Drosophila melanogaster: one gene and its partners. The protein of the gene in region 1 interacts with the protein of each later gene in a pairwise test. Each region holds a gene or a part of one and is shown in the gene's direction. Other genes may lie near its edges.

The links.
Region 2: the proteins of Tango6 (region 1) and C15 interact in a two-hybrid assay, tested with the Drosophila melanogaster proteins (one large-scale study listed by BioGRID).
Region 3: the proteins of Tango6 (region 1) and und interact in a two-hybrid assay, tested with the Drosophila melanogaster proteins (one large-scale study listed by BioGRID).
Region 4: the proteins of Tango6 (region 1) and FoxL1 interact in a two-hybrid assay, tested with the Drosophila melanogaster proteins (one large-scale study listed by BioGRID).

What each region holds. Positions count from the first base shown.
Region 1 is NT_033779.5:18,966,377-18,974,567, forward strand, and holds Tango6 (transport and golgi organization 6), read left to right. Parts: upstream 1-2,651; 5' UTR 2,652-2,722; coding exon 2,723-2,783; intron 2,784-2,841; coding exon 2,842-5,043; intron 5,044-5,103; coding exon 5,104-5,606; 3' UTR 5,607-5,628; downstream 5,629-8,191. Other genes in the region: Nak (Numb-associated kinase), read right to left, coding at 1,877-2,039; L2HGDH (L-2-hydroxyglutarate dehydrogenase), read right to left, coding at 5,784-6,171, 6,226-7,083, 7,541-7,662. UniProt on the Drosophila melanogaster protein: May be involved in protein secretion and Golgi organization.
Region 2 is NT_033777.3:21,497,248-21,505,111, forward strand, and holds the start of C15 (C15), read left to right. Parts: upstream 1-2,738; 5' UTR 2,739-3,010; coding exon 3,011-3,183; intron 3,184-5,006; coding exon 5,007-5,422; intron 5,423-7,864.
Region 3 is NT_033779.5:9,758,938-9,766,112, forward strand, and holds und (uninitiated), read left to right. Parts: upstream 1-4,431; 5' UTR 4,432-4,691; coding exon 4,692-4,797; intron 4,798-4,898; coding exon 4,899-5,711; intron 5,712-5,832; coding exon 5,833-6,260; 3' UTR 6,261-6,401; downstream 6,402-7,175. Other genes in the region: zf30C (zinc finger protein 30C), read left to right, coding at 743-1,116, 1,184-2,562, 2,628-3,204; Taf11 (TBP-associated factor 11), read right to left, coding at 3,585-3,906, 3,969-4,237; ppk18 (pickpocket 18), read right to left, coding at 6,420-6,622, 6,679-6,788, 6,842-7,168.
Region 4 is NT_037436.4:4,014,503-4,022,470, forward strand, and holds FoxL1 (forkhead box L1), read left to right. Parts: upstream 1-4,375; 5' UTR 4,376-4,591; coding exon 4,592-4,962; intron 4,963-5,894; coding exon 5,895-6,150; intron 6,151-6,206; coding exon 6,207-6,677; 3' UTR 6,678-6,777; downstream 6,778-7,968. Other genes in the region: Mul1 (mitochondrial E3 ubiquitin protein ligase 1), read left to right, coding at 7,033-7,137, 7,202-7,785, 7,844-7,968. UniProt on the Drosophila melanogaster protein: Transcription factor. Coordinates the placement and migration of various organs during embryogenesis, including the salivary glands, hemocytes, germ cells and Malpighian tubules.

The sequences.
Region 1 (8,191 bases):
ATTAGATGCATAGACGATGCAACGATTAGGAGAATGTTTTAATATTGAAAATATTTATGGAACATTTGCTGTAAATGCACACACCATTTCTCCCTGTGTAGGCGATAGAGAGAAGTGAATAGCGGACCAGCAAATGTAACCATTTTTGCTCGACTTTGTGAAATTATGGCGTCAAATGTTAATCAATGCTGAAGGTTGCAACAGCAACAAATCAACATTGGCAAAAAGTACAGCAACAACATCCAGTAATAATAGTATGAAAAGCAACAATAACAATGCACAATTGTAGCGATGCGAGAAAACGCGAGAAGGCAATTCGAAACGCAAACGAGGGTAGAAAATACGTCTGAAGGGGCGTCAACTGCAAGGTGGGCAGTAAGCGGTTAAGGGTGGGGGCTGAGGGGTTAAGGCGGGAAAGCTTCATTCGTTAACCGTTTGTCGCTTAGTCATTTGTAATTGTTGTTGGCTGCTCAAAAATCGAATCAAAGAAAGCAGGTAAATATTGAAGGTGATTAAGCACAGTGTTACTTTGGAAGTATCCAGCATATCGAGCAGTTTAAACTTGGCTATACGCGCATTTTATTCATTGAGCATCTGCAAAAGACTCTATTTATTTTTTCTCTTTCTTAAATGAAATACCAATAGTTACGTTACTGGATTAAATGAATTAATAAATAATATATAATTTAGTTTATAATTTGTTATACTAATTCAATAACTTTAACCAAATAACCGTGTTCGTCAAACGCTCCGCCTTTTTAATTACAGGGTATGCCCGACAACAGCTGACTAATTGCCAGCGGCGCCAGCGCAGCGCAAAACAAAATTACGAATCGAGTCCGCTTGCCAAAAGTATAAAAAGTAAAAAACACTACGTAATGGCTAAAGGAAAGGTGGCGAATGGCTGGCCAGGCGGTGGGTGAGCAATCGTTAGATGATCAAATGTTGGGCGGAGGGTACTGGTGCCAGGCCAACAAGGAGGCACTTGCACTGCAGGATGATGTGGAGTGGAGCACTCCGCATTTCAAGGACAAGGACACAGCACAGGCGATTTCCTTAGGGGCGAACTTTGCCATTTAGCTCGGCGAAAGGTGAAAAACGGAAGACTGTCGGAGACAGTCGGCTGATGAGTGTTGGTCTTGCCGCTTCATTGGCTAAATTAACATAATTGATTCAATTGATTTGTGGCCATGTGTAGTGGCTACGGGAATTCAATGGGTATTCCATGGAAAAACCAACCAGAACCGTAACTGTGTTTGTACAGTCGGGTTTCTCTAACGCGGACACCCATTTGTCACAATAGAAATGCTGGCATTTCTGGTTTTGGCAAAAATAAACTCTTTAAAGACTGACATAAATTTGGACGAAATATCTGCACGCCATTAGAGAGCCGAGTTATGGACATAAATATGTAGTTCTATGCCAAGGGCAAAATTGCAGTTCAATTAGTTGGAATTTAGGTTACAAACCAGTATTTAGTATTCATAATTAATGAAATAATTTAAAATGTTTTACAGTTTTATTAAAAGATAATATATCAAAGTCAGATTTTAGCTGTTTTGAGTTTAACATCTTATACAGAAATTATTGGGAGTAATTTATTTGGATTTAATCGGAAATGCGACAAGTGGTGTCCCCAATTATGGAGGATACGCAGCTGATTTTTATGCTCTCTAGCGCTTTGAGTACGCCCCACATTTGGGAGTTCTCGCGCTGAAGGGGTTTATCTAATCTGTGACGAGGGGCGAGACCGAAAAGCGGACGGCAGGCTACTGCCCACCTGTAAATCAGGCAGGTGATAAGCATAATCGCGGGCGACGTGTTGTAGGTAGGGGAATGGGAGCACATATATAAGAGTGTATATATAGTCGTCTACCTTCTGCCAGGACATCCTCCACGGTGACCGTGACGCGTCCCACTGTGAAGACCTTGCCCACGAAGCTGTTCTTCTCGTTCGAGGACGACGAGCTGCTGCTGTTGGGCGGATTCTCCAGTCGAGAGTTCTCATTGCGCTCGAACTTAGACAGGATTTTCTTCATTTTCCCCCGATTTTCACTAGAAAATGTTTACTGCCCCAGCAGCACAACACACACACACACACTCGCGAGCACACACGCACACTAGCTAACACGGTCTTAATTGCCTGCGCGTAGGTGTTTTTGGCAATTTTTAATTTTGCGAGGGCGGCTGACGGTGGGCGGGGCGTCGGTGCCGCTGGCCAATTAATCCACTTTCGAGTCGTATCGGCTAGCTGAATAAAGCTATTCTGCGCACTTTGTGTTTTTGCATGCACACACACAATGCAGTGGAAAAAGAAAGTTGTTCGATTTTCCTGCTGCTCTCGAGTTGTTGGGCCAGTGTGACCAGGGCGCTTTGCTGCAGTCAGATGCGCAACCCGCGGCTGGTGCAGCCGCCTATCGATATATAGATAAGTTGGTTGCAATCTCGAAATTCTGAAAACAAGGAAATCCCCGTTTACAAAATAGGTTTTATGATAACAATTTTTTGTAATTTGATCCAATTTAAAAAGATAATATGGTTCTACTTTCAATAAAACATATAGCTACAGTTGCATTAAACTATCGCGCAGTTTTAATTAGCTATGCTGCCAACATCGTGTTTCCCTTATCAATATGTTATCGATTGTGCTGGTGCAATTGTAAACAAGCATCTCTAGCAAATGGTCGCTAAATTCGCAAAATTGTAGTTTGCTGGGATAACAATGATAAATACGGCCAAGTACTTTGCTCTTCTAGAGAGTTTAAGGTTTAGTAAAGCTCTAGGTAAATTGGTTAACATCATATAATAATTGTAGTATCCCTAATACTAATATTTCGACAGCAAATACGGCGAATAACTCAGGGACTGCCGAAGCCTTGGAAATCAACCTGCGAATTTTGGAAAAATATGCTAAACTCGAGATTGGTCAGCAATTGCATGAGCTGTGCCTGGAATATCAGTTAACAGACGATCACGAATCTAGTATTGATCCCGATTCGGATCGTACTATATGCTATATAATAAGATTGCAACATGTGCTACATTCGATCATGAGGAACATTAATTTCCACAGCGACGCCAAGGAGGATCTTATTTCGGTAGCGCACCTGAAATTGTGTATCCAGGCTTCCCAAGAATTATCATATTACTCGCTTCGATGCCAGCTACATGAGGATTTCTACAAGTCGCCCATCTTTTGTGAGGCTCAGGGGAAAATCAAAGCTAACTTTTCATTGATGCTTCTAAGCATTCAGTTCTTTATTAATCTACTGCATATTCGACAATACCACATAGCCAACTCGATGGAGCTGGTGCAAAGGGATCTACTGGCGGCCATTGTGAGTCTACGTGTGCAGCAAGACTCTCCACTGCTGGATAAGGCTATAGCCTACCTCTGGCAATATGAATCCAAAGCAGATTTCTTTCGCAACATCTTGCTTTTTAAAGCTACGACTCTCTGCCCAACTCTGGCCCAATTATTGCACCGTCAACTCTTAGGAAAGCTTCACTTACCCCAAGGATTTGCTAGTCTTGTTGAGGCCCTGCATCAAAATCCCAATGTGAATTCTTCCAGAAATGCGGAAATTGTGGCTAGTATTGTGGCCAGAAAAGGATTTTCTCAGTTAGCGCAAGAGAAGATGGTTCTCCAGGTGCTAGAATATTGTAAGTTCTATCTGCAGAATGCGGACAAAATGTGCGCCGGTGTCCTATCGCTCAGAAGACTTTACGATTTAAGTGATACAAATCAAAAGCTGATAAAAGAAATATTATTCAAACACTGGGAAACGCTTTGTAACCCAGAAGACATTATTAATGGCCTTATCTTAATGGATCACCAGGAACTGTGCAATCGCATTCTCTTATGGCAGCATCTCTTTTGTTCTTCAACCGTAGCTTGCTTACCCAGTAATCTACTCGTTCCCTACCTTCCTTTGCTGCTCCAACTCTACGATGGCCTTCCAATGGAATTACCGGCGTCATCGCAGATTTCTGCCATTATTTTGCGTTGTCTGGACAACAGAGAAATGAAAAACGAATTACCTGCGATACTCCAGAAGCTGTTTAAATGGGAAATTGAGAAGGAACCTCCTTGGAAGTGTTTAAACCCACGCATTATAATCCTGCCTTCCATGAACACAACTCAAATTCAGGTTAAAGTAGCTCACAAAGATCATCTAGCAGATCACGATATGGGCAGAATATTGCCCGGTCTACTCACATCAAGCTCTCATCATTCCCTCACCTGCAAAGTTTTCCTCTCTCTTCTGGGCTTCATAGCTAAACAGATAAATGATAAATCTTCAGCCAGCGTAGATTTTATTTCATCAGAAGCAGAGCTCAAAGACTTTCTGCACTCCAAATATCAACTGAAGCTAGATTTGCTCATTGCTTTAAACCAAATGGTAGCCCACCAACCATTAAGAGCTCAGCTATCACAACATACCAAGGAGCTTCTACATATACTAAAAGACTTGCTTGTCCACCGATCTAGAGAGCAAGATACCACGGATCAGATCCTACTTCTCGTTCTAAACCTCTTGCAGGAAATTCTTGAGGGCAGTGAGAATATTCAACTTTCAGAGGCCTGTAAGGAACTGAAAGAACAATTGCACCTGTTGGGTACTCGATCTTCCAACCCTCTTATCCAGCAATCTGTAAAATCATTGCTTACAATAATTCACGGCGCATGGCGACCAAGTGAGGCTGTTAAAATACAACCTTTTCAAAGAGCTCGGTCCTTGATAGAGGAAAAACAATCCCACATGCAAGTGTATGGAATTCAGATGATGATTGATTTGCTGAAAAAAAGAGATCCTGCTACCTTAGCGCAGGGTCAACTTATCATAGCGTTAGCCCTGACCACTCTCAAGGATAAGGAATCCTACACCTTCTTAAATTGTGTTCGGCTCTTTGTGTCGCTTGTTCATGTGATGGAGTCCGATGTGCTGGACAAATTGAGTGATGAGTACCTATCAGAGACGGCTCACTTAGACTACCGCCTCGTAGTGGGTGAAGCTATTCTGAAAGTCGCTCAGGAGTTGGGTAAGCAATGTTCTACACAGCTAAGAATAACTCCTAAACTTTCATACTAATCCCATCCAGGTCCTCTTTGCTTTCGATACAAGGCTGTTCTTCTCAACTGCTTCATGTACGGCTCCCGGTCTCCTGTTCACGAATTCCGGATGTCAGCCTTTGCCAATCTTGCCCAGCTTTGTCGCCTTTTGGCCTTTCAAGTGCAGAACTTCTTCCACGAGTTACTCCAACTTGTTAATAGCGAATTAACCACCGGAGGATATGTTCCCTCTAAGCGTGCAGCAGTCCTGGTCTTAGCTGAACTATTAAACGGCATGGAGAACCTTCTGGATTACCAGGAAATGTTACTCCCCATTTATCGCCTTTTAAAAGCGATTGAAGCGGATGAATCCTGTGATCCTCAAATGCGTCAGCATGCTGCAAACGGTCTGAAAATTTTAAACAAAAAGTGCACAAAACTGATACAATCTGCCTTGGAGGAGAAATCATTACAGAAGCAGATTAAGGTGTTGGGCATTAAGGACGATGATTCACCTCAAAGAAGAAACCGACATATACTGGAACTGAATTAAAGGCTATCTTAGAAACCTACACAAGTTTTAATTTTGTTTTATACACAATAGATCAATATTACAGTTTCGAAAAGAAATGCGATAGTGGCGAATCAGTACAGACATTACTGACATAAAGGCAGAACAGAAAATAGGACTTAGTTTTGGACTTTGGTTACATTATTTGGGATAGAGGCATCACTTGCCGATAGAGAACTCATTCTCGATCTTGTCTGCGATCATCTTGGCAATGGCCAAGCTACTAGTAGCGCCCGGCGATGGGGCGTTTCTGCAGTGAAGCACTCGCTTGGCTAGCGCTCCCGATCCTTGTCCGCGATCGAAAACAAAATCGTCCACCAGATTGCCATCCAGATCCATTGCTTGGGCACGTACTCCAGCGGGACCACGCTGGATATCGTACTCCGTAATATCCGGGATGTACTTCTGCAACGCCTTGATCTGCAGGTTAATGAACCACGATTTGGACATCTCGCTGAGTCCGAAACCGATGTACTTGCTCGCCATCTTTACGAAGCCCGGATAGCGCAGGGCGTCGAAAAGCTCGAAAAGATTAATGTCACCCCAGCTGGAAGAAGTGAAGTGTCAGACAAGTTTAAATATGAGCTCTAAGAAGACTTACGTGTAACCTTCGCGTTTCAGAGCCAGAACGGCATTTGGTCCCAGCCAGATAGATCCGTCCATTCGCGGCGTAAAGTGAACTCCCAGGAAGGGGAAACGTGGATCCGGCACCGGATAAATATTACCCTTGACCATATGCTGTTTTTCCTTGGTCAGCAGCAGATACTCTCCACGGAAAGGCACGATGCGGGGGTCTCTGGGGCATCCAGTCTTCTCAGCCAGCAGGTCGGATTGCAAACCGCCACAGGTTAATACGTTCTTGGTACGAACCGTTTGACCGGGCTTAGCGCCATGGATGGTCACTGGGTAGTCGGTGCCCTCCTTGGTCTCGGTAAACTTGCTGACATTGAAGTCCAGGTAGATATCACCACCGCACTGTTTGAAATCCTGACCATAATGCTCGGTAACCAATCCCCAGTCAACGATACCAGTGTGCGGACTGTGGAGCGCCATCACTCCCTGGCAGTAGGGTTCGATCTCCTGAATCTCGCTGCCTTCGATCATTCGCAGATCCGGTACGTTGTTGGCAATGCCACGCTTCTCCAAATCCTTCAGCAGCTTCACTTCTTTCTCATCCGTGGCCACAATTAGCTTCCCGGTTTTCTTGTACGGGATCTTTTTTTCATCCAGATAAGCGTAGGCCAAATGCATGCCCTCCACGCAAAGGCGGGCTTTCAGGGTTCCAGGCTTATAGTAGATGCCAGCATGGATGACGCCGGAGTTGTGGCCGCTCTGGTGCTTTGCCAGCTTGCACTCCTTCTCCAGGACAGCCACTTTGAGGGATGGATGGCGCAGGACAATCTCCCGGGCAGATGCGGCGCCGACGATGCCACCACCAACGACAACCAGATCATAATCTCTGAGGGAATACAAAACATATCAGCTAACAGCCTCAAAAATTAAATAAACTTAAGACTTCTAAAGTTTTTAAAAGTTAGAAAGATGTTTGTATATCCGTTAGAGTAAAGAGTGTGCGGGCACGTTTTTGATTAGGATCATCAGTCAAGTCGATCTAGCCATATCAATATGTTCATCGACTGTCAGACCGCAAGAACGTCGAGATCTTGGGAACTAATAAGTAAGATAAAGGCTGCAGATTGCAGTGAAAAGACTATGCTATGCAATTAAGAATACAAAAGTAAATAGAATATACATTGCTTAACTAAACATGATTTTAAAAGCGCATTCTAAATGAAAAGAAGCTTACTTAGCTCATTTGGAACACCTAAATGATATTCTGCAAACAGTGAAAAGATTCTTAGGATCGGAACACCCCCGAAAATGAGAGAACCCTATCGTAATCTCAAGAGACTTACCCGCAGCTCGACGAGCTGTGCTGCGATCTTTTGTGGGTCGCTGTGGATTCGTTGGGCGCGGCCACGCCCACATTGAGTAGGCTACGCCGAAGTCCCTGTACCAGCAGTCGCACCTGAGCCATTTCTCTTTCTTTTATGCTTTCACCACCCGCGCACGCACGTAGAATTTAGATTATTTACCAACCCGAAAAGAAAGACCTTGCTTGACCTTGCCTTCTCCTCCGCCAACTTGTGCGTACAGCGCGCTTTCGAGCGAATCGACAGACTGAAGCCCGTGGAAGTTTTCCGTGGGGCGAGAGAAAATAAATATGCTCACGGGCCGAGCATCTGGGCGATTTGTGGGGCCGAGGGGCGATCATAAACGCGCTAATTGATAAGTGTGACGGATTATTTTTGAAAGGGGGTGGTTGGGTAAGGACGTGTGTGTCAGCTGTTCGGTTTGTTGATAAGATTTAATGTGCCCAGCTGCCATTTTGCAAATTTTCTGTAATCTAACAATATTAAAATTTTTATTTCATTTTAAATATTTCAGGTTATACGATCATGCTGATTACTCGACTAAAAAGTATTTACAAGAAACAAACATATAATTTTAACCCTAAATTTGCTTTTATTCGATACGGAATCCCATTATATTTGGTCGTATTTGAT
Region 2 (7,864 bases), on another chromosome or scaffold:
TATTCCAACTAATTTGGTTTTACCTTCGGTAACAATTATAAAATTATATTTTTTCAGACATTGATTATTAGGAATATTCAGCTCTGAGAAGTTAAAACTCCAAAAGTACTGTAAAGATAACAATTAGATTCCAGAGGTTGGTTTTATCCTGTATCCTTACCCTATAAAGCTATGAGATTGGAGCTCCAAGGTTTTAGACCAAGCGGGTACGCCAAATCGGTGATCCTTTAGGTGGGTACTAAAAAAATATCCTACAACTAAATATAAGGATTTTCACAGAAAGTCGACAAGCAGTTAACTGATTTAAAGTTAATTGAATTTCACCAATAATCTGAAAGACACAACCTATTCTCCCAGTGATTGTGTAGATACACTTAGGCTAAGTTTGTTCTGGTTGTTGCTGTTTTGTCTGCCACCCGACTGCAGTGCGACGCTGCATACTAATTTTCCACAGCCCTGCCACCGCCCATCGCCCACCGTCATCTCGTTCTCATCTTGGAATCGGAACCACCACCACCAGCCTCTTAGCCATCTCCTCCTGCCCCTGCATGAATGCGATGTGGTGGTCTGAGCCTCATCATTTCGTATTCATACCAAGCACCAATTCCTCGTCGTTGCTGCCGCTGCAGTTATTGTTGTTGCCTGCTATTAAGTGAAATAAAAGTAAAAATGCAATAAAAATGTTGGCCGCCTCTCGTTTTGCATTAAAATTGCATTACAATTGCCGTGGATGGGGCGCTGTTGTTGCTATCTTTGTTGCTTTTATTACGGCAATTGTTTCTGCGTTGTTTCTGCCCAAATGAAATCCAATTAGCCGACTACAAGGCCTACCAACCAACGACTGCCAGCAGCAGCAGCAAAACAGCAACAATGACATTGCGAGGCGGTACGAAGAGAAATGGAGTTCGCCTCGTGACTTTTTCCAGAGTCCTTTCCACTGCCAAGTGGTGTGCGTGTGCTTTTGTGTGCCTTGCCAATTGAATATGCAGTAATTGCCTTTCTTCATTTTTGGCCATGATTTTTTGCTCGTGTCTGACACAGAAACATGGCCAGTTAAGTGCAGAAATGAATATTTATAGTCGTTACTTCTAGGATCGGACTCCGTTTAAATGCAAAGTGAACGGTTTGATTCTGCAGCCCACTCTCAAGAAAAATTGAATAATAATCAAATTATGAATAATGATATTATAAAGATAGGTAAAGATATGTAGATATAATTAACTAACATAATTTAACATTGAACAAAAAGCTGCATATGCAGCTTAAAACCAGTGATCAATATGTACATACATTGGCACTCTTTTAAATCACAGAATAGTATTTGTGAGGTACAATATAAGACCTTAAAGCAAATCATGTTTAAGAGTAACCAAACTGTGCAAGTAGAGATATAGTAACCCTTTATTATGAAATATAGATATAATTATCCTCTGACCAGTAGCGAATCTCCTAAGCGTAGTAATGCATTATCCAAGTTATCGCAAATAGGATTTGGGATTTTCATAACATTGCCTTATTCTGAAGGGGTTCACATTCCACATCTCGACTCAGCTATCTCAGCTAATGAAAACGGAGTACGCAATCGCTTCTGGCCACACACACGCATTCCATCCAGGCCGGCTAGAACAACACCTGAAACTGAGACTAAGACTAGGACCGAGATCCCGGCCAGCGATGAGCAGTAACATGGCTCGTGCCCAAGAAAAACTGTCAATTAACCCGTGGGGTGAACTTGTGGAAAATGCCAGAGCTGCTGCATCCACTGCATGCCGCGCAATTTGCATTCGCATGGCCGGGGCAAATGGATTGGATTCCTGTGGCTTCAGCTCGAGTCTGCTTATCGCAATCGCCGCCTGCCAAATGCCAGGCGATAGCGCGTAGAACTCTTGGCGCTAATAAAGATCTCAGTAGTAAGCGGTGTGAGGTGGTGAGGGGTGACATTAGGCGGTGGTGCAGGGCAGCCCTCCTGGCCAAATCCGCTGCTTTGTGAACTCAAGCTGACAGAACGCTATTTCCAATTGTGCTATTAATCTGCCACATTTGCACTTCCGCGGAAAAGAGTCGGCGGGCGGATGTGATCTCTTTCGCTCGTCAGTTGGCTGACTCGCTCTGCAGGGGTGATTTGCGGGCGAGCGAGTGAGACAGAGCGAGGCAGAGTGGTAACGCTTGGCTAACCTGAAAATAGAAACAATCGAAATAAAAATACATTCTCTTCATGCTCTCGTCTAATAAAAAACCCCAAAAGCAAAACGTTTTCCATTTAAAATGTCGTCGCAACTGCCAGCGGGAAGTGGACGTCGAGAGTGGCAAGTGTGTGGGGCAAACTCCGGCCAGCGGCCAATGGCGGTTGGCCGAGGCCACGCCCCGTGGCTCAATTACCGACCAGTGCTGCCCATCGGCGGGCAGAGCGAAACCTGTTTCCACGAGCGAGAGGCAGTCAGGCGCATGTGCGATCAGAGCGGGATGGATGGCTCAAGGGTGGACCAACCAGAAGAGGCAGGTTGCTGGTATTATGGTAGGTTAGGTTCAAACAAGGTGGCAAACTGGCTCTTAACCGAAATAGGAAGGAAGTCGGCAGCGGCGTCGACGTCGGGCAACTGGTTTGACTTGTTTCCGGCTCACTCCAACAGCCCAAACCCACCAGCAATCGGCAGAGGCAGCCAAGTCGGCAGAGGGCAGGCAGAGCAGCGGCCGTCGGCACAATTTGATTGCATTTATGAAAAGCGTTTTCGCCCGCTAGCACGCGTCCGCTCCCAGCTCGCAATTCGCCATCCGTAATCCGTAAACTTTAATCCGTAGACCGTAATCCGTGAATCCAAAGCAGTTCTCAGTTGGAATTTCCCGCAACGGGTAGTGCTTAAGCGCGGAAACTGAATTGAAATCAATCGGACGATTAGTGTGTGCTTCGCGGTTGAAACACTCTACATCTAACTATTAAGAGAAAAGAGTGCCCAATAAGATTCGAAAAGTGCAGTGAGCGAGCTCCAAATTGGCGCCACTAATTGCCAAAATGTCCAGCCACGAGGAGGATGACCATGAGCACGAGAACGAGCACGGCGAAGAGGTGGAGGAACAGGAGATCCACGTGGATGTGGACTCGGACTCGCGGATGTCATGTGGCAGCGGATCCGATGTGGATATGGACGGCGGCAGCTGCTACGACGAGTCCGAAACGCCATTGAGGTGAGAAGGAGAGCTTTTAAATAGAACCAGGAAGTAGGAAAAATGTCCCAAAAATATAGATATTATCAGTATAGATATACCATAAATAAGCAGATCTTCCAATTACAATAAGACTTCTACATATACATACATATATTATTTTTTTAACTAGATTGTGATAAAATGCTTTGGCTTCCGTACTACTTACTTAAAACTGAAGAGGCCTTTTTTTTTAAAATTCATTTTGGTAAATATTTTTCAAATATGAATAACGTCTGAATTTATGTACGTTGCAAAATCGAACAATAAAAAATATTTTTGGTTTAATTGTATCGTAAATAATCTGCTACACTAAACTTGAAAAGAGATTGCATCTCTATTAATAATAATAATGGCTTTACTTTCAAATTATACGATGTACAAACATAATAATTGGTCTGAAACAATTCATTACGGAAAATCCCCAAAAAAAATATATTAAAGAAAAAGCTCAGTTTTTCGTTTACTCTTGATGGTTATGATCATCATGCAAATTAATAAATATTTTTTTGTAAGTACTGGGCTTGATTTAGTTGGCCACATTATTCGTTAATTACTCATAAGTCAAAATTTAGATCGACAGCAATTTGATCGACTAACTGAGAGAAAAAGATCTATAAGCTATAGTTATAATAGTTGGCATACAGTCTTATTTTATTGCCCTATAAAAGTCAAACAAGTATTGTGGCGGAGAAAAGCTATTTGCATTTGTTATTACGAGCTCATAACTCCCACTGTTTTACGATCTTTAACATTGTCACTCATAATGCTCACAAATCCTATTTTTCGAATCGTGGCTCAACGCCATTGAAATGCGTTGATGTTTAAGCCCCATTGTCCGCTCTTACAAATGGTCCCATTTTCCAGCGACAAAAGGGGATAACAAGATGCCAGAGCATCCAGCAGACCGTGTTAACTGATCCCATTCAAGCGTTTGTGCGCTTAGAAGAACAGTGTGAACAAACCTCTTAAACGCTAATGAATTGACCACAAAGCCACCAAAAGAATCAAGTCGAAATGTCCCATAAAGTGCCAAAGAAACTCCCTGAATTTACATAGTTCACGGATGGCCAGGGTTTCCAATAGACGACGACGATAAAACGCACATTAGTAAGGCGCCAAAAACGGGCTGTGATAAGACATTGGGGTCCATTTGGGGCTCAATCTGGAGTTGGATCTTCGGCTTGAATGCCGGACAAAGACGAAATCGTTTGTCGGATTAACATTTTAATAGAGATCGTCATAAAAATGCCATAAAACCCGCGTTCCAGCGAATGTAGATCACCAGATAGCAGCAAGTTTTGGCCAGTGAAATAATATGTGTTTGCTCATAACTTTTGATATTGGAAAGTGTCTGTGTGTCGGTGGTTGGCGATTTGAGATCATTGTTCCGATACAATTCCATTCCTGTTCCAAATGGGTTTTTACTTTTTGGATTTATAAATTAAATGCCGTGCGTGACTTGTTTTCGGTGCGTCAGTTGATGGCATTTGATGATTTATGGGCGCGTATTAAATGCCTCTAACGGCCGTCAGCATTTGCATAATTACTTCATTTCCAGCCGCATTGCGTATACGCAGCGGTGGCCACACGGGTTCTGCATGTCATGTCGTCAACTCGGCTTATCCGCTCGCGTGGGCTTTTGGTTAGTGGTTCCGAGACTGGTACGCACTGCAACAGACTTAATTATAGTCAATGTTCTCAGGCTTTCCCGCTTATCGGGCGACACATTTTAATGAGCCCGCACCTCCAGAGGGCTTCTTTCCCTTCGATTCTGATGTCTTTTCTCCGGTTTTTATTCCCAGCGAGTCCCTGCAGTCGGAGCAGACGCGCTCCTCGTCCAGTGAGAATCTGCCCTTCAGCATATCACGCCTGCTATCCAAGCCCTTCGAGACGAGTCACCACCACCACAACAACAACAACCACCTGCTCAGCAGCAGTCCGGGCTCCAGCAGCAACAACAACAACAGCGGCGAAAAGGGCGAGGAGAAGGAGCTACTGCAGCAGGAGGACCACGACCTGGCCTATAAGCTGGCCACCAGCATCGCCAACTCGACATACGGAAGCGCCGCAGCACTATACTCGTATCCGCATCTCTATCCCTCAGCGGCCGGCGGTCATGTGCTACGTGTACCGCCCCAGAGAACGCCGCTCACCTGGGCACTACCGCCACTGCATCACGCGGCGCTGGCACATCAGGCGGTCAAGGATCGGTTGGCAGGTGAGTGAATAGCAGCGAAGTCAAGAGGGTTTGCCAAATCCAACCCATTCGGGGCCCCCATGTCGGGATGGCCCATGTTCGCCGAGATCTTTCGGGGGAGCGATCCTCCAATGACCCGCGGTGGCAATTGCTACTGTTCCCCAAATAAGCACGATCAGAGAAGACTTTTAAGGCAACATGCCTATCGGCATGTCATTGTTGGCCAACACATTCGTGCACCAAGAGAAAATGTGGCATTTGAAATAAAAGAATTGGTAACATTAAGAATAAAAATGTTATATATGTGCCTACATAACGCGTAGTTGGATGCATTCAATTGTGCAATAGGGTGTAGGAACATAATTTTAAACTTCTTGATAAAACATATTTTTGTATATTCATTGTTGAAAATAAGGTGCGAAGAACGTTGTCTAATGGTCTAAAAGGGCTTACTTACATATTTCCTTATAATATAATTACGATGGTCTATTAGATGGTATTTTCTGTGGGTAAGAAACAGCTTAAGGCTAGAACACAGGTCTCATAATACGAATTTTCGCTCAGTGTACACTCACTCTGGTGAGCTTGGGATGCTAAAGTATAAAAACATGTTTGCCTTCAAATGCGCAATCGCAGCTTAAGTTAAAAACTTAACGCTGAGCCGCCGCCCAGAAGCGACTCAGGAATGAGATGCGCCTTCTTATTTGCATGCGCATGCGCAGTTGAATTTGTATCTGTATCTGTCGCTGGTCCTCTGAATCCGTATCCGAATCTGTATCTGTATTCCATCTGAATCTGCAACTTCACGTGCAGCTGGGTCTTCTGGCTCCCTTTTTGTTAATTTGTTTACATTATGAGCTTCACTTGTAGCTACAAGCGATGGGCACAGCGCGAGCCCTTTGAAATAATGAGACGGCGTTGATTTTATTACGCCTCGGCAGCCGAGGGATCTTCAATGGTGTGGAAGGGGGATCCCGATAGGGTTCGGATCCTATAACTCATAATATTCGGGCCTTTTTCGGCCTTGTGATGTGGAAAAGCTGCTTAGGAGCAGCGCAGCCCGGCAATCTGACGGGCTTTTATGGCCGACATCCGCCCAGTGGTTCTGGTTAGCTGTTTGGCCTTTTTCTTCATTTTAGTTATTTTAATGAGCTGGTTTACATGACTTTTTAATTTCGCGCTGCGCTCGAAAAGGAATTAATTACGCATTGGGCGGTCGCTGGGCTCAGCGAGTGAGTTTTCTGTCCTCGCCGGCTTATTTATCGCCGCATACCGCACTTCACATTTGAGTCCAACTGACATGGTCAGCTTTTAATTAGCCAGTCGAATGCTGGCGATCCGAGGGCTGCATATCCATATCCATACTTGTGTGTATATCCGCCGAGGAGGGGCATTCGATCGAGTGGATCGTATAGAATGGAATGGGATCGGATCAGTCACTTCGAGTCGACTATTCCACCTGAGGGGCACACTTATGAGCCCGCCGGGTGATCCAAGCTTCTGCCGCTCGGTTTCGTTTTGTCAACATCTTCGTTTTCGTCTTGGTCTTGGTCTCGGCCAACGTCTGTGTCTTTTTGTGTTTATTGTGTCGCTTGCCTTGTGGCTGATAAGCTGGCGCCTTGGCTTTTTTCATTAACAAGACAAACGAGCGTCCAGGGTGCGGATCCGATCCGATCCGATCCGATCCCTTCCCGCGACCAAAGTGCTCCTCTCTCTTCCGCCGGGGCCCTTAGCGCCATATGATTAATAACCATCGCATGTTAATTCTCGTTATTTTTTGGGAAACTACGTCGCAGCAGGCGCCAATTACTTTTCGGCCATGCACGCCCTAATGCAGTTTCATAACAGCCATAATAGCCTGATTGGAAGGGAGTTGGGCTTTTGTCACGACACTTGCCCACACGAATGTTACCAATCAATGGCGGAGTAGGATCTATAGGCTAGTGTATAGAAATTCCCTTTACTAGGGAGCTCCTTTAGTAATTTAGTATTTAATATTAAAAAATGATGTAAACTCCGTGAGACTGTATACTAATTTGCCATTTAACAGTTCCCATTTGCATGCGCTTTGATTGGTTACGTGCTAGTCTTGAGGTAACTAGTATATAACTAATCCAAATCACTAGCAAAGGTCAGAGTGCAGCACTTTTGAAAAGAGACCAAAATAGCGGAGTGGGAGGAAACCAGTCCCAGCCACAGGCCGTCATCAATAATGCATGCTAAAAGCTTTTTGCATTATTTTAGGTATTTCTGGTGAGACTTCTCGGCCGCAGCCACACACTCACCGCCATCTGTATCTTAAAGATACTTGTGTTAGCTTGTGCGAAACATCATAAATAAGCTCGGTGGAGCACGGTGGAGTGCCGGAAAGCTATAAAATTATGCTTATGCGCCTTAACCTCCCTCTAAGCGGATATGTTACATCCTTGAAGGATACACACATCTGAGCTGCGGCAGAGGGGA
Region 3 (7,175 bases), 9.2 Mb from region 1:
TGCGCGCACTTCAAGTCGCTGTCCTGCCTACCTGCCCCGCCTCCCCCGTCACTTGCCCATCGACTCGGCGAACGCAACGCCACCAGGGCTGCAGCACAGCGTCGCTAATCGGCTGCCGTCGTCGGTGTTATTGTTGTTGTTGGAGGTGTCGGTGGTAGTGGTGGTGGGTTGCAAGAACGAATTGAATATCGAACAAAGGGCTCGTTGCCGATAGTTGGTTCGAAAGGAGACTTATGAATACATTCATTTTATGGCACTAAAATATGTTATGACCATTGGAAAACAGCTTTTATTATTTTTTTGAATCAAATAGAAATTGAAAATAATATAAATTGAAACCATTATTAACATAATAATGAATATCCTAAATTAATTTATAAACTTGAAAATTACAAATGTCATGTCAATTAATAATTTATCAGAAAGAAGCTGCTTATAAAAATTAAAGTAACCAAAAGAATAATAATAAAATTTGATAGTTTGCTTAAAACGAAAAAATAGAAAAAACGGAAGTCACTAGATCTAATTTGATTTACATAGTTATTATTATTGTGCACAATGCAGCTTCTTTACTAAACCCTATGATAAATATAAATACAATAATATTGCGACAAGTGCATTTAAGACAGAACTGAAAGACCCAGCCCTGGTAGGCGCATACAAACCCAAACCAACCGAAAATCAAATTTGCATTTGTTTACGTTCGCCCCAACATGCTATAATCTCAATTCCCCACTCGCAGAAACCGAGTCGATGGCTCCAAGCAGCAGTGCGGCGGCTGCAGCCACCAAGCTCCTGGTGGAGATCACCACCGACGGAATACCCAAGCTGCACTGCCCGGTGTGCAACAAGGCGCTGGTCTCCCTAGCCGGATATGTGAAGCACGTAAAGAAGCACCAGCCGCCGGGCGGCTTCGAGTGCCGTCACTGCGATGCTCGGTTTTGCCACGAGGAGGAGCTCACCCAGCATGCAAAGGATGAGCACGGAGTCACTGGCGCGGTAGCTGGACAGGAGCGAAAGCCTTTCGTTTGTGAAAAGTGCGGCGCGGAGTACAAGTACCAGGAGGCATACCGTCGCCACTGCAGGACCAAGTGTGGCGAGGAAAAGCTACCCAGGGTGAGTAGAACCGAAACAGTGGAACCGTTTGTAAATATATTAATAATAATTACTTTCTCTTCCTTAGGAGGAATCCCGACCAATGGAGTGCAAGTGCTGCTACACCCGCTTCTCTAGCGCCTCTAACCTATCCAAGCATCGACGCAGTCGTCCCGACACCTGTGGACAGCCGGAATACGATTCGCCCGGTTCATCCGATGGGATGAAGAAACATAAGGCCTTCCGCAAGAAGGACAGAAACAGGGACTCTGATGATGAAGATACCACCAGCGAAGAATCGGAAGATAGCGATGATGACATTCCTCTGGCCAGTCGTCTGAAGACGAAGCTCAAGCAGGAGAGCCAGAACTCGGACTCGGGCGACGAGTGTCCCGACTTCGAACCCAACAACAGTGAGGACGATGCGGATGCATCCGGATTCCAGCTTCCTCCGCCGGCTATGGTCAAGGTGGAGGCCTTCGACGAAGAAGATTTCGAGTACCAGGACGCCAGCATGTATGTGAAGACCGAAAGCACCGATATCTTTAGCAACGAAAAGGATAAGCTGCTGGATGTGCTGCTCAATGAGGGTGATGGCTTAAAGCCCTTTGAGAGCCTAAAGGTGGAACAGGGCGCTGGTATACTAGACGAAATCGCGGCCGTGCCGCTAGTGGAGGTTGCGGAAGAAGATGTCTTAGAACTGAGGGGTCATCAAATGGAAAAACCTCCCGGACCAAGAAAGCGGGGCAGACCGCCAAAGGAAAAGATACCTGTGGTCAAGAGAAAGTATCGCAAACGAAACGCACCTAGATCGCCCTCGCCTGACGATTCATCGGGTACACCAAAACGCGTAGCTAAGATCAGCAAAAAGGAGCTAAAGGAGCGCCTTAAGATGATCAACAAGATGGAAAAATCCTGGAAGTGTCCTCACTGCGTAAAAATCTACCACATCCGCAAGCCCTACGAAAAGCATTTGCGCGACGACCACAAGTTAAATGAGGCGGAAATGAAAGAGATCTTTAAGGACGTGGACGTCCATGCTAAGCTGGACGAGGAAGTCTTTAAGTGTCCCATATGCAGCAAGATCTATTTGGTGGAGAAGCGCTTGGTCACCCACATGAAGGTGCATGGCGAAGATGGCAAGCTGACTTTCAAGTGCCCATGCTACTGCAACCTCTTCTTCGCCACCAAGGAACAGGCCACTGAGCATGCTAGGGCCCAGCACAAGGAACTGCTCTACTGCGAAAAATGCGACAAGTACATGACCGGACACGACAGCCTCAAGAACCACGAACGCAATTTCCACTCGAAGAAGGAGCCGCGCAGCCAGCAGCGCAACCTCATCTGCGACAAGTGCGGCAAGAAGTTCACCGGACGCACATCGCTCTCTGACCACGTTCGTTCTGACTGCGGCCGTCTACCGCTCTACGGCTGCAGCGTTTGCGGCAAACATTTGTCCACCGCTGGGTAATAACTATTTGTGTTTGAATGTTTATTCTAAGACTGTTAGTAACGCATCTTCCTTTCCGCAGTATTCTCAAGACGCACATGCTCCTTCACAAGGCAGACACTCCGTACCAGTGCGATAAGTGCGGCAAAACATTCAAGGTGAAGGCGCAATACAAGTCGCACTTGAAGACGCGCCACACGGACTACAAGCCGTACAAGTGCCACCTGTGTCCCAAGGAGTATCCGTACAGGGAGAGTCTGCTCACCCACATGACCGTGCACACGGGCATTAAGCGTTTCCTGTGCAATAACTGCGGCAAGCGCTTCACTTGCATCTCCAACTTGCAGGCACATCGCAAGGTGCATGCCGATACCTGCGGCCAGTTGCCTTTGAATGCCAAGGCCACCCAGTACATGGGCGTGCAGCGCGGAAAACTCTTGATGGGCGCTAAGCCGGAGGCGGGCATGGAGTACGAGGAGACCAAGACCTTGATCGCCCAGGATGTCATCGACAGGGACATGCCCATGGCACAGGAGCTCAACTTCCCATCTGACGGCTCAGCGCCATTGGCCACGGTGCCCCTGAACTACGCCTCCACACACCTGGTGCCACACATCGTACTGCAGACCATGCAAGCCGAGGCCCGGCGAATGGAGTAACTTCGGAACACATTCATTTAGCGATCCCACTCAATAAAGATTCTTTTGTAAACGGATGCGTATTCTACTGTACAACAAATGGGATGACAACTACATAATAATATCTACTTAATGACTGGATTAATTAAATAACATTGAACGTAAATAAGCTACATAAAATTGATGTAGATGAAGGTTTAACGCCATACGGACCTGTCAAAAACATTTAAGAAAAATAAATTTCCTTATAAAAACACGTTTCGGAATTTATTCGTAATAGAGAAAATTAATTATATGGGATTTGTTAAAAAAATCTTTATATTTATTTACTTTTTACTTGTTTATGTATTTTTATATTGACTAACAGCCTTACAAACTATATTTCTTAATGTCTCGACTCGCTAGTTCAGTCTGAAATAGGGCTGCTGGTATCTGCCTATGGGCATCCGATCCTTGGTCCTCAGTCGTCGCACTGCCTCTCGTATGAATTTGGGCTGCAGGGCACCGGATTCACCTTGGGCCTCCATCACGTCGAGGGCTTCCTCCACAACCTCGCCGACGAAGACCTTCGCAATGCCGGACATGGCTATCACAACATTCTGGGACACGGAACAGCCGGTGATAGTTTGCATTAGACGCTTGACGGCGGCCTTGGGAAAGGCAGAGCGACGATACATTTCGTAGCGATCCAGCTGTTCTTCCGTAAAGTTGGAAACGAGAACCCTGGAGTGGAATAAAATAGTTTTTATAGGATTACCCCTTCGAATCGCTTTAAGCTAACTTACTGCATTCGTTCGCGCTCCTCCTCCTCCAGTTCCTTCTTCGTCTTGAGCTTTTTGTGCGCCGGCTCGCCAGAGTCACCATCTCCGTCCGTGTTCTTGTTGTCGTTGTCCCCATCCGCATCCTTGCCATCACGATCCGCATCGTTTCCCGGATCCGAGGTGTCGCTGTCCTTCCGCTCGCCGGAGGCCGACTGGAAGAATTTCAGGTCGACATCGTCGCCGTCGCTTAGGGAGTTGCTTTTTTGCTGCGTGGGAAAGAGGATTTCGTCCATTTAAATGAAATTTGAAAAGCACCAGCGAATAATAAACAAAATCAACCAGGGATGGAGTTGCACCATATTCGCTTTTTGCAACACTCAAAAGTTCCGCACCACATAATAGATGAATATAATTCAAAATATCGGATTAAATATATTAAAGGTATATCATAGTTGTTTATAAGGTGGCTTTGAGATTTTAATAAATAATAAATATATAAATATACAATATTCGATAAACTTTTATTTTTGTAGTGTTTTTTTTTTCTTCAAATTAGTGCTCAAAGTCAAATTATGTAAATTTCAAATTGAACATTCACTGGTTCCGATAGTCCACAGCACGTTTTACAGCACTGGCCTCTGACACCTCGTGTTTTTGTTCTTTTCTCCGCATCGCCATCGCCAGGCAAGAGTGCGCGCTACATTTTCGTTTATTTCATCGTTCAGCCAGCAACCAAGGCACTGCGAAATGTCTGCAACCGAGACTCTGAATGTGGAGGCGGCAACGCCCGAGATCGGCGAGGAGGTCAAGAAACAAAAGAAGCCCAAGCCGAACAACAAGAAGCTCCGCCAAGGTGAGTGACCTCATGCGAGCAGTGCACTGTGGTAATTGCATTTGCACGACCCTCTCCGCCTCAACCACCCACCACCCACTGAACTAACCACTTGCCCACAGAAGCGGCAGCCAAAATAGCCTCCGGAGAAGGCGGCGACGAGGAGCTGACCACAAACGGAGATGCCAAACCGGCAACACCGGCCGCTCAGCCGGCAAAGAAGAAGGGGAACAAGGGCAAGAAAAGCGGTCAGACTGATCCGCCCACCATACCCATTGCTAAGCTTTATCCGGACGGCAACTTCCCCGAGGGCGAGATCGTGGAGCACCCCACGCCCAAGGATATGCCCGACGATCGTACGGCCAAGGACCGATTCACATCGGAGGAGAAGCGTGCTCTGGACCGTATCAACACGGACATCTACCAGGAATTGCGCCAGGCGGCTGAGGCCCATCGTCAGACGCGTCAGTATATGCAGCGCTACATTAAGCCGGGCATGACCATGATCCAAATCTGCGAGGAGCTGGAGAACACTGCTCGGCGCCTGATCGGCGAAAATGGTCTGGAGGCTGGTTTGGCCTTCCCGACTGGTTGCTCTCTTAACCATTGCGCCGCCCACTACACGCCCAATGCCGGAGACCCCACTGTACTGCAGTACGACGATGTGTGCAAGATTGATTTTGGTACCCATATCAAGGGGCGGATCATTGATTGCGCCTTCACCCTGACCTTCAACAACAAGTACGACAAGTTGCTGCAGGCCGTCAAGGAGGCCACCAACACGGGCATCAGAGAGGCGGGCATCGATGTGCGCCTATGCGACATCGGCGCCGCTATCCAGGAGGTCATGGAGTCGTACGAGATCGAGTTGGACGGCAAAACATATCCCATCAAGGCGATTCGCAACTTAAATGGACACTCCATCAGCCCGTACCGTAAGCAAAAATCTATTTATTATAAATATTTTAAATATGCTTATGCTTTCCTTAATATTTTTTGTTTAAATTTATTGTGATTTGTGCAAACACTTAATGAAGTCTAAAATTAAATTCTCAGGCATTCATGCTGGAAAAACGGTGCCCATTGTGAAAGGCGGAGAGTCCACTCGCATGGAGGAGGATGAATTCTACGCCATTGAGACGTTCGGCTCGACGGGTCGCGGTCTGGTCCATGACGATATGGACTGCTCGCATTACATGAAGAACTTTGATCTGCCGTTTGTGCCGCTGCGCCTGCAGTCATCCAAGCAGCTGCTTGGCACCATCAACAAAAACTTCGGCACCCTGGCCTTCTGCAAGCGTTGGCTGGACCGCGCCGGTGCCACGAAGTACCAGATGGCTCTCAAGGATCTGTGCGACAAGGGCATTGTGGAGGCTTATCCGCCGTTGTGCGACATTAAGGGCTGCTACACGGCTCAGTACGAACACACAATTATGCTGCGACCCACCTGCAAAGAAGTCGTTTCCCGTGGCGACGACTACTAGTGGGATGAGGAACTGGACAGTGACCGATTTTCGGCGATGTATGGCTTGCATTATATACGGTTTTTGATATAAGTTCATTCTATTGTTGATTTTTTGTGAGCATGCGCCAACCGAATTATATATACAATGTATTATGCTCAGAATATAAGCGGAGTGAGATTATTTTCGAAGTTGTTCTTGTCTTGGCAGATTGCTACGGAGCTCACGCCAGTAAAGTGAATAGTTGTGATTGATAGGCTCCTTATCTAATAAGAATGACCTGTATATGTAGACAAATCCTTTGCCTGTAAGATAGTACAGGATCTCTATGTAACTGACTATGCTGAAACCGTACATAAGCGAGAGAATGCCTCCAAAGCGATCTAAAGGGTTAGTTAATATTTTTTAACTACTCGTCTTAGTTATTTACTGTACTCACTTAGCAGAACAACCCAACTGCTAACCATTTGAGATTTTGTGGCTTGGGCAAAGCGCAGTTTAAAGAAAAGCTTTATAATGGCTAATGGTCGCTCGTTGGTCAATCCCTTTCTAAAATATTCGATATTCATTATTTATCAAAGAAATTGTGGTACATCACTTACAGCAACCCGGTAAAGTAACCACTGCTATTATAAGTCCGTCTCAAAGGAGCCACGTTGGTGGTGATACTCATGCTAACTCCGTTGCAGGTGGGCAAACAGTGCTCGCACTGCCTCTGGACCAAGTTCTCTTCCTTGTTCTGCAGGTAGGCGAAGTCACTGTAGCCATACCAAATGCTCTTCCATCTCATTAGGCATGGAAGATCGGGAAGCATACAATAGTCGAGATCCATGGAACTGCCGGTCAAGGGCGGAGATACACAGCCGCAATGATCGATCATGCTCTTCATGCGGCATACCAGAAGGCACTCGTCCAGGGAGTAGTACGATCTGTAGG
Region 4 (7,968 bases), on another chromosome or scaffold:
ACGGGGGCTGTTTGGCTATGTTAACAATGAATGCCTCTTCGAAACTCTATACGTTTGTGAATCGCCCCAATGAAATATAAACTAACCCAACTTTAAATTGCTCTCGTTTCTCGCAGTGCAGGTCCTTGGGGAGTTGTCAGGATGTTGCCACTGCCTGTATTTTAATAATGCATCGAAATGAAAGTGGCTGTCAACTGGAGATTTGACAGCTGCTTTATGCCGGCGACAAGGATCGATGATGGAATCGCAATAGAAGGTAATAATGCCCATTGGCATCCTGTCAGGTGCGTAGACAGACTTGCCACAGATTATTTCACTTAGCTCCCTGGATAATGTGAGATAATTAGGCGGTGGACTGGAGAGAGGTGAGTGGAATGGAGTCCACGGAATCGGCGGCTCATTAGCACATGGCACTCGAGGAATACCCCGTGGTAGTCCACACTTACTCATAAATGCCATAGATCTTTTCGGGGGCCACCAGCTGGCCCACTTGATGGCATAAACAGATTGCATGGGGCTCGCTTTGAAGTGCGAATTACCCGCGGGGTCAACCGCAACATGCATGTACGTATGTACATATATACCTCTTTATAACTGAACAACAGGGCCGTGAAAATGGAAAAGTTGGGGGAAAATGGATGAAAATGGGGGAAAGATGGGGCTTCGGTTTCGCTTTTGGCCGTAATACATCTTGGAAATCTGTTTAATGGGCCGCACGGCCACTTGAGAGGCTTTTTGAAGCTGTTGCTATTTTAATGTGGTCGATATTCTAAATTTAAACAAATAAACAAACATCCATTGCGCTGCTGTTGAAAGTTTATTGTTGTTAAACCTGTGCAGCAAAACTGTTTGATATTCCTTTACGTTTGCCCGGTTGAGTAGCCGATAATTTGGCACTTAAAACGTGCGAAATTCATTCACATTTCCATTTCCACTTGATTCATTTTGGCCGGGAAACCAATCAATGTGAGTGCTTGGTTTATGTTTTTTTGTTTTCCACACCCCGCCTCACCAAAAACATCCGCCCAGCTTGGCTTTTCCGACCGACTCCAGCCACCTCAATCCGCCTAGAAAATCGAAGAAAACTTTTCCTGCGGCTGGAAATCAATATGAGTAATACGAAATAATAATCCACGAGATTCCCGTGGTTTGGGGGCCACTCGAAAGCCAGCCATTCTCGATTTGTGTATAGATTGCTCTTTTTGAAGATGCCAAATAGCTGCGAAGGCGAAGTTATCACTCAATTTATAGGTTTTTCAAGTGCAAATGAGGTGCTGTCAGGCGGGAAATGCTACAAATGATTCGAGTTATTCGAGTGAATTAAAGTTGGGCAATTTGTAATCTCATATTTTAGATACAATTAATTCTTGTTTTCTCAAACATATATATAAATTCTTGGTTATTTAAAGATTTCAAAGAATATTTACCTTTTAACTCCTTCAGCGAACATTAAAAAAAAAAAACCAAGAAACCGCCCAAGTCTGCAAAACACAAATCAATTGCAGTTGCCAACAAACTCAATGGCTAAATAAATTATGGTTTTCGCTTACCGCTATCGACTTCAAACCCGCCATTAATTAACACCAACCCTTTTGGCCAAGGAGCTGAATCGAAATGGCCGCGATTACTCGAGTGTCCAACACCTGTTACCAACAAATAAGGAGCGCAGGGTGGAGTAAACTACCGCCGTCACAGGTCAACAACCAGTTTATTGCTCACGCATTTCATTTCAGAAATCTTCTGGCGTTCCGAAAGTCATCATTATCATCGAGGATGCTGGCAGAGATTGGTGGAAGGGGATGCTGGAGATGGAGCTGGAGCTGTAGCTGGAGCTGTAGCTGGTGCCATGCAACTAGTGTCAAGAATCGCATAAATTTCCGATTCCGGGACGCCGAGTGTGCCATTTAATGGCCGGCAAAGGTCACGTTCACACCGCCGTAATGGCTAATGGGCAAAGAGCGGGTCCTGACAATTCAGGTAATGTGGATAATTTGCTGTCAATGATGTGGAACGAAGGGGCCCGGCTCTCTCTGCGGTCCTCGCTATTTGTTGTCAAACAACACGGCAGCGGCATCATCTCGGCATCTACTCCTCTTAATAGTCCGTGCTGCATTTTACGGCGACTATAAATAGGTTCTACTAGATGTTAATGCCTTCCAATAAACGCAGGCTCATGGGGCATGTGGCATGCGGCATGGGGCACCCCATCGATTTTTGACAAATCACCGCTTGTCGAGCACAGCCACAAATCCATGCTGATCGATGATTTGTTGTCTTTGATCTCGGGAGCAAGCCACAGTGGTGTCGAGTGATTAAATCAAATTTTGACAAGGTGTCGACTGGCGGCACTCCGAGTGTATTTGCCGCAAAGTGTGCCTGAAGTTGAAAATCTTACAGTGGAGCTTCATAAACAGGCACTGTACGGGGAGTACCCAAGTACCTAAGTTTGGCTAACAATCTTAACACAGCGGATTTGAAGTAACTAAACTTTGAGTATCTTAACATGCAAAAGAGTCGAGCGATGTAACATGTCGCTTTCTCTCGAGGCTCTACTGTAATGTATCTCAGCTAAATGCAAGCAGTTCACAGCATAAATCAAGCGATGACAACGTGAACAACAACACCGGTAGTCACGCACTAAACTATAACTATAACTACGCGATTACACACAGCGATTAAGTTGCGGTTGGGGAGCTGCGCTGCGACTAAATAAACAGGATCCGAGGCGTTTTATGGCTTAGTGCGAGGGATATGTCAAAAAAGATGCGGTGAAATGCATAGGAAAACATAGTTTCACAACGAAAAACATCGATCGGTGTTCGAAGACGAAATCAGACCAAACCGAGCTGGGCCATAAAAAACAATATTTGTTTCCAATACTATTCCCAGCATAGGTCTAAAAATAAGCAAGCTAAACACGCAGGGCAGCGACATCTTCGAGAGAATCGGAGGACCATGGGCCATAGGATAACCCATTGTTTTATGACCCATTCTCACCAGCGGTAAGCGATCGTAAAATTTGAATAAATCGGGAGAGAGCGTGAAGAATCCTTTGTGGCATTGGCATCATCCACACATGTGAACTTCAATTGCTTCGGGCATTTTGGATTTTCAGTTCTTCGATTTGCGTTCAATGTTTTTATTTCTTTCAAATGATCTCTGCTTTCTACTTGAGAACGGAACGATCGTAAAAATCGAGCGTAGTCCTGTTTGAAATGTATACACAATTGTTTTACGACCTTTTAAGATATAGACCAAGACTTTCGGTTGCATTCGGAAAATTGCGTACTTGACTGCCGCGAGTTTACTCTCGCTTTCCTTCGTTCGCTCGGAAAAGTCGTAAAAATCGGAAGGCAACTGCCACGAGATAGCATGGGATGTCAAGGGACCAGATAATGCCGACTTCTGGCATTATCTTGCCAGCTGCTATCCGGTGGAATGTATAAACGGAGTGCTTCTTGGAATCGCTTTATTTAAATAATGTTTACAAACCAATTGAACTGACGAGTTATCAAAGCTCTTTAGTGAGTGCTATCAAGAGATTTGAAAGTTATAAAATGATTAAACATCTAAATGAACTTTTTCAAGCCAGAAAAAGGCTAAATTAGTGACTAACTCACGCAATGATTACATACATACATATGTAACCTATCATAATACTGCAGTATAATCTTTTTTAATAACTGGGACTAACGATGTACGCATGAGATCCTAGAAGCTTTACATTATTTCCAAAGATTTAAAAATTCCCTTTCAAGTGCCCGTAATTCAAGTGTAAACTTTGCTCGATTTTCATTTGTTGAAAAATCAAAATCTACATATTATTCAAAACACACTGGGACTCTCCCACACTCACTCACACATGGGGAAAAGGTCTTGACTCCGCCCATCGAGGAAAATACAGGCAAATGAGAATGGACATAAATAAACATGGAAAGAGTAGAGAACATATTTGTAGGAACGCCCCCTCAAAAGAGAGATCTGCCATATAACGGGTATATGCGAAAAAGATATAGTATAAGCAAGGATATTAATTAGTAATGATATAATCAATCTAAATCTAGTACTACAAAGTTAATAACTGAATACACTTAAATATTAACAACATCATCTTATTATATTATAACATAATAATCTCAAATATATTATACTTATTTCATATTTCAATTTATTCAATTTCTTCCTTAATAAAATTTAAATTTTTCAAGGAAAATTGTTTTCCCCTCTCTGAGAACTTACGCATGTGTGGATCTTTTGGTGAGGGTGTTTGCATATCCCTATATTTATAGACCAATGCGCTGCTCTCCCCCAAAAACACACACCCATAAGATTGGGATGAGGCATTACAAGTGATCTGCGTATCCGAGTTCATTCATTAGTCGATCGGACTTCTTGGCTGACGCAACACATGGTCCACAGTCGCGCTCGAATCGCCCACAAAATCGGAAGTAACAGCTAACCGGAAAACAGGACAAAAATCCTAAATATCTAACAAGTTAATGTGAAGTGATATTCGAAACAAAGTTCCCGAAAGATACATAAAGAGTATAAAAGAACTTTGAATCAAGTTACTGGGATTTCGTTTTGAAAAATGTTACCCTCTTGCTATGCCAATGGATCGATGCTGCCGGATAATGAGGAGCTGGTCAACTCCATGCTAGCGAATCCGGATTATCTCAGGACCCAGGTGTCACCCAATCCGCTGGCTCCAAGTGCCGTCGGAGGTGCGGGCATGGAGGGTCTGATGTGCGGATCGTTTTCACCGGCCTTCTACTACCAGGGCATCGATAGCTTTCTGGCCCTGCACAACAACATCTGGGGATTGCCTATATCCTTTCTGCACAACTCCCATCGACCGGAAAAGCCTCCTTTCTCCTACATTGCCCTCATCGCCATGGCCATCAGCAGTGCACCCAACCAGCGACTGACCCTCAGTGGAATCTACAAGTTTATCATGGATAAGTAAGTTAATTGAACAATACAAAAATACGAGATCTTTGATAGATCAATAAGTGAATTTAGTTTGTAAATCAGCAAATAAAATTTCCAATTTCTGTACATATATTCTACTAAAGCTCTTGTTTTTACAATCCTACAAAAATAAATGTTCCGCCTTGTCTTAAATCGAGGAAAATTTAGATGACATTCTTGGCTAAATCAAATGCCAAAATAAACAACCGCCACATTCCAAGTATCTGTACAAACCAAAGAAGTTTTTATCCCGAGAAGAAGTTTTTATCACGAAACTTTTGCCACAACTGGGATTAAGTCGGTGAAATATGGAGCATTAATCCAATTTCTTAATGTGAAAATATATAAATATCACGCAGATTACTTGGTAATTATCCATATGAAATGGTTTCATTTATTGGCTTAAATTTATTAGTCATATCTTTAACAAATATTAAAATATATATGTATATATTTCCTTTCCTGAATGAACAGAGTGCATAAAAAATGGCGGCCAGATATATAAAATAGATCGCAAGTAATTTGAAAAACAGGAAAATGAACAATGTGTTTGTAAACTAAATATTTCCGATTTCTTTATCAACATAAACAAATATTATTTTTATTGCTTTTTCAAATCGCTTGATTTAAACAAACCAGCGGAGGATATAGATATGGGCTAATAAGATGTGTATCAACAGCAAGTTTTTCAGATTGTAAAATGATTTTTATATATACAAATTCAGATATTCAAAGCTGTGAAATTCTGAAGTAAATAGTTTTGATAAACACGCATTCGATTTATATTTATAAAATATCTTTTCCATTGTTAATTTATTGAAAATAAAGTATATATGTTTACCCTTTCAAAATTTGATAAAAATGTCAAGGAAATATAGCTCCTAATTAATTAATTAATTGGATAATATCCAATTATTTTTTAGATTCCCATATTACAGGGAGAACAAGCAGGGCTGGCAGAACTCCATTCGCCACAATCTGTCCCTCAACGACTGCTTCGTGAAGATTCCGCGGGACAAGAACACAATCGAGGATAACGACAGTGCTGGGAAGGGAAGCTACTGGATGCTGGACTCATCGGCATCGGACATGTTCGAACAGGGAAACTACCGCCGGAGGAGAACGCGCAGGCAGAGGCACTGTGGCCATCCAAATCGCTACGAGAGGGAATCGGGAAAGGTATAATGCACATCTAAAAACTCATAAACAAATCGAATAAATGAATTTATCTGCAGGATTCAAATGATGGCAACAGTAGTGCAGCAGAGATTCGCTCGCCCAGCGAACCGCTGAGTGACTTCGATATCTTCTGCAACGAGCGGCCCAATTACTCCGACAGGATTACGGATCTGCACAGGCAGTACTTGTCCGTATCCCTGGGCTTCAACAGTCTGTTCAACAACGAGGCCCGCGGACTCCGACCACTGCCCGAGATCAGGGAATGCCCAGACGATGTGGACGCCTCGTCCAGTTCCAGCAAAGCAATGCAAAGTTCCATGGAACTGCACGAGGAGCTACATTCGCCGAGCGCCTTTACTCCTCCTCTCAATCGACGGGAAACCTCGTCATCGGGTGCACCTGTCCTTGCCGAAGCTTTTAATGGCATCAAGGATGTGGTGGATGCACCTGGGAGCAGTCCAGTGGCCAGCAGCAACCGATCAAAGACCACGCTGTTTACCATCGACAATATCATTGGCAAGCCATAAGCAATGCACCTCTTTTGGCTTAATTATCTTAATTTAGTGATAAATATTCTTGCATAAAATACATAAAAGTGATGGAGTTTTAAAATATAGATTGGTTTGCATTGGCCGTTTTCTAATTGCAAATTGAGAATTGAATTGAATTAAGCTAACTTCTTTTTGGCGGTAAATTTCAAATATGAAAGTAGTATTTTAGAGTGACCCTGCACTCTATGGCATATACTAATACGTTGAACTAGTTCCATTCAACAGGGTGAATATTTAGTATTTGTAGCCGTTACGAGCAGCGGGAAACACAGCAACACTGAGTAAACATATGTTTTTGTAGCGTAATATAAATAAAATAGCATAACACAAAATGGAATTTTTACACGAATCCGTTGCACTGGGCGTGGATCTGCTAATACTTGGCCTGTGTGCGCGCGAGTACGTGCACTACAAGCGAACTGCCAAGGTGCTGAAGGTGCGTATAGAAATACTAATGCACGTAATAAGTGGCGTTTATTGAGTGAACTGCTGCTTTTCAGGCGGCACCACAATACAACATCGATGGAGACCTAAAATCGGTGGTGGAGCGGCAGCGCGACAAGAAGATACCATATGCGGTAATCCGGGGCACAGTGACGCCCATCGGGGTGCCACTGAGGAGCTCCCTGGTGCCCAGTGTGAGTGGAGTGCTGCAGATTGTGAAGCTGCATGAGCACAGGGTAACGCGCGGATTCGCCGGCTTCTGGACGGAACAACACAAGTTGCTGCACGAATCCGCCAACGAGATGCCCTTCGAGTTGCGTAACCAGAGCCATGGTGTGGAGATTGTGGACGCCTTGAGTGCCGCCGTCTTGGACGTGGACGTGGTCTACGACAACTACGAGCCCTCCAATCTGTCCCTCTTCGACCATGTGTTTGGTTTCTTCTCTGGCGTCCGTCAGAGGGGATTGCAAACGACGGAGGAGGTGCTCAGAGAAGGCAGCTTCCTGACCGCTATTGGTGAACTGGAGTTGGATGGCGATACTCTGCGCATGCAGCCCTCCAATGAGGGACCGCTCTTCCTGACCACTGCCACCAAGTCCACGCTTATTAAGCGGTTCGAAGATGCCAAGACAACGACGATGTGGGTGGTGCTTACTCTGGGTGTATACTCTTAATACTTTCTACTTAATCCCTTCTAGACTCAAGCTGGTTGTGTGCAGCACCATCTCTGCCATCCTGGTTGCCTTCATTGCCAAGAAACTCTACCGAAAACGAAAGCAGGAGCGGGAGGAGGCCAAAATTCGCGAACGCCTGGATACGGAGC